Arabidopsis thaliana: one gene and its partner. The protein of the gene in region 1 interacts with the protein of each later gene in a pairwise test. Each region holds a gene or a part of one and is shown on either strand. Other genes may lie near its edges.

Region 1 (3,927 bases):
TTGAAGACAATCTCTGCACCATTTAGACCAAAAGCTAACCAATTCAGAGGATGGTGTCTGCCATAACATATATTAACCGCAATTTTCCCAAACACCGTCTCAAACACAGGATGGCCTGTGTCTCCTTCCATGTAATAGGTGCTCTCGTTGAAATCTCCTACCCTAGGTATATGGTTCTGCCACCAAGCAAGTAATAGAAATTAGCTGACAAGAGAAAAGACAGAGCAACAAAAGACGTGTTAGCACAAATATACCTTTCGATGCTTGCCAATGATATTTCCATTATTCCCTATAATCACAGCGGTATTCCAAAGCACTTCACCGTGATCAATATCTCTTTCGAGAATAGGACTAACAATCACCATGTTATACTTTTTAGCGAGTTCTTGAAGAAACTTTGTCGATTCGCCATCAACAGGCTCTGCAAACTCACACCATCTCCTCTCCCTAGTGCAAAATGCAAATGGCATGGTCCAAGCTTCCTATCGATAAAACCATTCATTCCCCCCCAAAGAAAAGGTCAAAAACAATTGAAGTAACAACTTTTCAATAAAAGAAAGCAAATGGAGGCAAAACCTGCAAGCACAGTATGTTAACACCAGCAACACCCGCAGCATCGATTATCGGCTTCAACTTGTCGAATATTCCTCTTGTTTGGTCCGAGAATGGAGCAGTGGTTGGAAGAGCAATGGAGTTTTGAATGAGACCAACTCTGACCACTCGAGGATTTCTCATTTGCTCTTTATCAGCTGAAAAGCTAGCAGCCTAGACAATATTTATACAAAGATCAAATCAAATCAAAACATTGTCTCAATCTATTAAGTTCAATGATCTGATCCTATAACTAACGAAGTATAAACCTGGAGATCAAAATCATGTTTTGAAGACAAGGCTTTAGCAGACTCCGGCAGAACAATCTGTTCAAGCGATCTCCCACAGTTACGTCCAAGGAGCAACCGGTTTACCTCCTGCAAATCCAATCATCAACAATCCATATTTTTTAAAGCTGATCAACATAACTAAAATAAACACTTGAAACCACTAGAACAAAAGATCCATAATATCATCATTCGAATTAGACAGGCTAATCAAAAGCGAGATCAAACACACTAGAAGAGTAATTTAGTTTGGAGGGAGTGGATACGTCACCTGATAGAGCTCGGGCTTAAGATTCGCTGATAAGAGTTGATGCAGCGAATCATAGCCGCAAATCGATCCTTCGGCACTTGTTTCTCCGTTTTCTGATATCATATGATCCATTTTTTCACGAGTCTTTTTCGATCACGAAACCAAGATGGCGATGACTTTTATGACAACAGTGATCGATCGGTTTGGTCAATTGATTACGAATTATTTTCTGGGAATCGGAATGTAATATTTTATTTTAGTTAGGCTGTCCAGACCTAAAGCCCACCAGATTATATTTTAATTCTTAAAAGAATTATTGGGCTTTACAACATCCTAAAAAGCATCTGTATTGGTGGTTTTTCGTTCAAATCTCTCATCTACAAAAATAAAAATAAAATAGTAAATAATGTTTTTTTTAATTAAAAAAATCTCTCAGTAAAGATGAGTGAGTCTCTCATTTGAGAGATTACAAGAAACTTTTCCAATTGTTTAGAGAAACTGTCCTAAGAGAATAATATTACATCTTATTTTATTAATATTTTTTGTAAGTGAAAAATTTAGAAAAAAGTGTTCCGGCCCATTGACGATCCATCACATTGCACATATTATATAAAATGAAAAGGACCAAAATGCCATTGACGATCCATCATGTTGTTGTTCCGGCCCATTGACGATCCATCATGTTTTCGTCCTTTTAATTTTTAGATCTGTATTTACTCTTTACCGATAAAATAATAAATAAATTCAACGGGGAGAGAGGAAAAACGAAAGGGAACAAAAAGAAATAGGGGATATGGTAGGCGGACGCGGCGGAGTTGGCGGTGGTGGTGGTAACAGAGTGGAGGCGGATCAGTGGCTTGTAACATCGGAGAAGCTTCTAGCGTCTAGTGATCTTCAAGGAGCAAAGACATTTGCGATCCGCGCATGCGAAGCTGACCCGACCCGAGCAGAAGCTGCAGACTACATCCTCGCAATCTGCGACATTCTTCTCGCCGGAGAGACTCGTTTAGGTGATTCCAACTTGCCAGACTGGTACGCCGTTCTCCGACTCGGTCGTTTAGCTCAAAACCCTGAACACGTCGCGACTCAGTACCGTAGACTCGCTCTTCTCCTCAATCCTTCCGTTAATCGTCTCCCATTCGCCGATCGAGCTCTTAAAATCGTCTCCGATGCTTGGTTCGTTCTCTCTGATCCGTTCAAGAAATCATTCTACGACCGAGAATTGCAACTTAGTCAACTCGGTCAATCTGGATTCCATCCTCAAACCCAATCGCATCAAAATTTCCAGTGGGAACCTAGCAGTAGCACCGCCGTATATCCGCCACCGCGGTCTCAGAGCCAGGCTGGGACCTCGGCGGATCCTATGGCGACGAGCTTCTGGACCGCTTGCCCTTACTGCTTTGTACTCTTTGAGTACCCTAAGGCTTACGAAGAATGTACTTTGAAATGTCAAGAATGTAGAAGAGCGTTTCAAGCTGTGACGATACCAAAACCTCCGGTGGATAAGAAAGACGACGAAGACGTTTACTTTTGCTCATGGGCTTTGTTTCCATTGGGGTTTTCCGGTGAATTTCAAGCTCCAAGTTGGTCACCTATTTCACCTCTCTTTGCCTGTCCTCTGCAAAAGTTGGATGGTGAACCAAAGAAGAGAAAGGAACCGGGTCCTCCTAGGATTTACTATGACGATGATGACATTTATGTTGCGATTTCGGATGGAGATGACGCTGGTGATGATGGTGATTGGCAAGATGTGGTACAAGTGAATAAGAAGACGAATGTTGGGAAAGGGAAAGAAACATATGTGAGAAGTAACAAGAAACATGGAGTTGAAGAAGTCCAAAATGTAGAAAGTATCAGTAGTGCTAGCAATCACGCGGTTTCAATTGCTTCAAATGCTGCGGCTGTTGGGTCTTCAACTGGGGTTATGTCTAAACCAGGGAGTTATATTACTAGAAAACGAATGGGAACAGGCGCTAAGAACCTGGGGAGGTTGGATTTGAATGTGGAGTTTAGTAATGAAGTGGAAGAGCCTGGTGTGGCAGGTGGGGGAAATGCAGGCAATGGGATCGGAAGTAACAGGGAGGTAGATAATATGGAAGGGATTGGGTTCTTTGAGGGACTTGATGAATTCTTGAATAGTTTGCCCATACTTTCTGTTGTTGGAGATGATAAGATCAAGGCTACTTAGTGAAGTAAGGCTTTTTCCTCTCTTTGTTTAGGTTGCGGGTGTTTCGTTGTTGTAGGCCTTAGCTTTTATGTTTCCTGTTGATGTTTAACTGTAGTGGAAATACTAGCATTTTGATTCCTTGGAATCCCTGTAGTTGGAATCTGTTGATGTTATTTTGCTCAAAATTCGGATGCTTTCGTCGCTTTCTGGTATATAGTCTTCTGCTTCTGAGTTCTGAGTAAAGGCATTAAGATTATCTTTCTCGGGTTTATTAGACTATAAAACCTTACTAGCCAAATGCCTTATCTAAAGTAAAGTGAGTTACTTATCCTGCTCAGGTTTCATTTTGTTCCAAAAGAATTATGTTCCTCCAACTCAAAAGGCCATAGAGCAGCAAATTGCAAAACATAGGTGGTTTCCATGTCGTAATTGCTGCTTCTGTTCATTCACTAGATAACTTGTTGTGTTCTGGACTGACAAACGAAGAGGGAAAGTGACAACACACATTGCTTGCTTCATTCATCCTTGATGCTTTGAAAGGTAAGGAAAACAAGTAAGCTTTTTGTCAAGAATTTCTTGCTGGGGTCTAAGGTAAAGACCTAAACGGCTATGTAGAGTTTTTTTTGTGTAGT
Region 2 (3,927 bases), about 22 Mb from region 1:
GTTACAAATACGTTTGAAGATAATATTCAAAACTATGTGAATCTTGATTTATACGGTCGAGAAAAAATGTTAGGTTGGTTGAAGATAGGTTCCGTTCCGCCCTTAATATATCTTATACAAAAAGATAAGATCATTACGAATATGTGCTCAATTCCTTTTCCATAAAGTTGGGTATTAAATTATGAATATTATCTAGAAATTTTAGAGGGGTGTATATAGTGTGCTATTTTCGTGATAAAAGTAAATAATGCATCCAAAATTCAAAGTGGATCATTAACACGTTTTGGTATATACATCACAATTTGTCAAACCCGTAATTAATTGCGCCAAACAAGAAAAAATGATCTTATGGGGCAAAAGTAAATCACATATATGGCAGTGGGAAGAAAAAAGGAGATTATATTTTTCCCCTAAAATAGACTAAAGTAACAAACCTAAATTTCTCTGGAAAGAATTATATCATAAAACCTCGAAGCCGACAAAAACTAAGAAAAAAAAAAACAATTTACCGAAGAAAGAATATTATTAAAAAATACAGGAACAAGGAGAGAGAAATGTGTTATAAAGGATAAAGCCCACTAAAGGTCATTCACTTATCTAACTGTATACTATTATTTTCTTCGAGGCAATATATAAAATTTACTTGATCTAGTAATTTATTTTCACTAAGGTTTAGTATTCTTATACATTTGTATAATAGTTAACACAACTTAACGATACTTACTTCTAATATGTATCAACACGTACGTACAGAGCCACGTAAAGAAAAAAAACACACACACAATCGCTGTCGAACAGTTAAATCCCGAATCTAGATTTGTATTAGTTATCTAATCGTATTATTGTTAATTCCGAAAGTAGAGTCAACATCCAATTAATTGCTTTATCAAATATCGAATATGCAAAAGGTCTAAAGAAAAACAAAGTTTTTTTTTGTTGTTAAACTTTGCTTACATCATAGGTATCCCATTAGGTTGGTGTACCATGTGATGATTCTACCACCGAAAAAACAGAAGCCAATATTAAAAAATACATCTATATAGTACATGTACAATAACAATAATTAAGGATTATTGTATTATATTTTAAGAAAAAAACTAAATAGGGTTATGTGAACCAGACTTTTTTTAACACTTTTACTGTGGTAAACTTTGGAAAGGGAAAAAAGAGTGTTAGGGTTAATATATGTATATATAATTCATTTATTGGGGAAATGGGCTCATCTAGGGTAACATCACCTACCCATACAATTTTATCATGCTTTTAGGGCTTTTATTTATCTCACTGGTCCCTCAATTCCTCCACTCTCTCTTCCCTTCGCGTGAACAACACGCTCCAATGTCTCCCCTTCGTATGTGCCGACGCTCCTTACCTCTCCGCGCCACGGACGAAACGTGCCCACACGCGAAAAGTAAACGCCGTGACATCCACGCGCCTAGGGTTTTCTTTTCATCAGGACACAAGTGAAAAATGGGTTGTGATAAGAACCGCACATTGCGGCCACGTGGTTAATTCTCATTGGTTTCTTGTGCCCCATCCTATCACACACAAAAACGTCTAATACGATTTAAATAAAAATCGGGTTCTTTCCTAATATAAAGAAAAACACTGAGATCTTTTACTTAATCTTGTTGTTTAATTTCTGGATACTGTTCCCCTAAGCCAGCTATTTTCTACTAATGCTCAGATTTCTTTCTTAACTAAACATATGCATAAAATTTTCTCCTTTTATTCACTTTTGACAGATACAGAGATACAAAGAACAGATACAGAGATGTACAAATACAGATACGTGTACACAATAGAAGTAAAAAGATACGTAACTTTGTTTCGTGTAATTGGAAATAGGCAGACCAGATGGTGACATGGCATTGTCATGTTCCATAGATGAGTTGTTCTTTTTTTAATATAAAATTATTACAATAAATTAATAAAAAGATTATTTTATTGAAATTAAAACCCTTATATCGACGCAAAGCCAAACAAAAAAAAAACCCTCATTTCAAGGATAAGAGAGCTCCACTTTCTCTCTCCTCTCCTTTCTCCAACAGTCTCTCTCTACAAGCCATAGGAAAAAAAAAAAAGTCCCCCTTTCTCTCTCCCTCCCCTTTCGTCTTAGGGTTTCTCGAAAATTCGCAGTCAAATTCTACTCATCTCCCGACGAATCCATCCTTCAAGCTCATCTAATCTTCTTCTCCGTAGCTTTCTCAATCTACCGATATAGTTTTTATCCCTTGCCGCTTAAGATCGAGCTCGAATCTCGCAACCCCTTTTAATCCCTAATTTCTGGTCGGATTAACCCAGGTGCGTTGTTTCCGACATGAATCTCAGATGTGTTTCGATTTAAGGTTTGAGCTAAGGTTTGATCTTGTTGGGTTGAGATTTGGTCTGACTTGTAGCTGACTTCGTGTCTTTTAAGCTTCACTGTTCATTTATACGTCTATCTTCCTCGGAAACTCTTGATGTTCTTACTTTTTTTTTTTTTTTTTTTTTTTGGGGTTTCGTCTTCACGGACTATTCACGTGCGGATAGATCTGACCCGTATTAATTGGTGGGTCTTGGTTAATCTTTGTTAATCACATACGGTTAATTTAAGTGGTTTATTATCTTTTAATTTTGTTCTAATTTTGATTTTAAACCCTAAATTACGCTGATTAATAATTTGACCTTTCTTGGGTTTTGTAATTCCGAAATTATATTGAATCTGGTCCGATCTTCTTTTTTCTTTTGCTGGTCATGTAGATAAGGTTACAGCTTTGGGGTTTCTCGTCTGTCTGAAAAACCCTAATTTTAGGTCGTCTAAGTTTAGGTTTACTTACATGTTAATTGTTAAATGTATAAAATTCACTTGCACGATTAATTTTTTGTTATATTAGCGTAATTGAATTGAGATGCTAGTATAGAATTTCATTCTTGATTTTATGTAGACCTTAGGGTTTAATTTTTTTTTATTTGCCGTGTAATTGTGAAGTTTGATGTTGGTTATGAATGTTATTTTATGTGGGATATTCATGTGAAATGCTTTAACACTATGTTATAGATTAGTTATATTTATTGCTTGAATAAATTTAGAGTTATATTTGGTGTCGTATATATGGAAAGTTAAGATTTATGTCTTGATATACAACAATAATGTGATCATTAAGCACAATTATACGATGTGTTATATAACTTGTTTTGATGTGTTGCTTTTGTAGCTCTAGTTGCGGAGAGAGTATAATGGTGTATGAAAGTTAATCATCACTGAGGCATAGTATCTATCTCCTTCAAGCAAATCAATGGGATCTTCCATCAAGATCAACTCAATATCCATAGATCTCGCAGGTGCTGCCAACGAGATTGATATGGTGAAATGTGATCATTTTTCCATGCGGTGAGTATAGTTTGTTGACCTTATATCATCAACCTCTCTTGCTAGAGTATGTTTATATAGTAGCAAGCTACAAGATGAAATGACATGAATAACCAGTTTTTCTTCTCTGCAGTGGATTCGTAGCTGAAACTCGTGAGAGAGACCTTAGAAAATGTTGGCCGTTTTCAGAAGAGAGTGTTAGTTTAGTAGACCAACAAAGCTATACTCTTCCTACTTTATCTGTTCCAAAGTTTAGATGGTGGCATTGTATGAGCTGCATCAAAGATATAGATGCTCATGGGCCAAAAGGTATATCACATTTCCAATATTGTTTTTTATGTGTCTAAAGACGTGTCTACTTGAACTTATGCATTTTGAGTTGCTTGCAGATTGTGGACTGCATTCAAACTCAAAAGCTATTGGAAACTCTTCTGTTATCGAAAGTAAAAGCAAGTTCAATTCGCTAACTATCATTGATCACGAGAAAGAAAAGAAAACTGATATTGCAGGTATGCATCTGCTGAGTCTTGGTTCAGTTTCATAATCCATAGCAAAATCTTAATCATTTTGTATTA

What was found.
Region 2: the proteins of EIP9 (region 1) and EMF1 interact in a two-hybrid assay, tested with the Arabidopsis thaliana proteins (one study listed by BioGRID).

Annotation. Positions count from the first base shown.
Region 1 is NC_003076.8:25,736,597-25,740,523, reverse strand, and holds the start of EIP9 (Chaperone DnaJ-domain superfamily protein), read left to right. Parts: upstream 1-1,847; 5' UTR 1,848-1,921; coding exon 1,922-3,316; 3' UTR 3,317-3,320; exon of another isoform or gene 3,321-3,633; 3' UTR 3,634-3,927. Other genes in the region: BETA-UP (beta-ureidopropionase), read right to left, coding at 1-176, 255-482, 577-765, 861-968, 1,150-1,260.
Region 2 is NC_003076.8:3,693,862-3,697,788, forward strand, and holds the start of EMF1 (embryonic flower 1 (EMF1)), read left to right. Parts: upstream 1-1,930; 5' UTR 1,931-2,304; exon of another isoform or gene 2,305-2,551; intron 2,552-3,197; 5' UTR 3,198-3,278; coding exon 3,279-3,373; intron 3,374-3,485; coding exon 3,486-3,661; intron 3,662-3,741; coding exon 3,742-3,861; intron 3,862-3,927. UniProt on the Arabidopsis thaliana protein: Transcription repressor that regulates phase transition during shoot, flower and seeds development. Controls leaves development, shoot architecture and flowering by delaying both the vegetative to reproductive transition and flower initiation.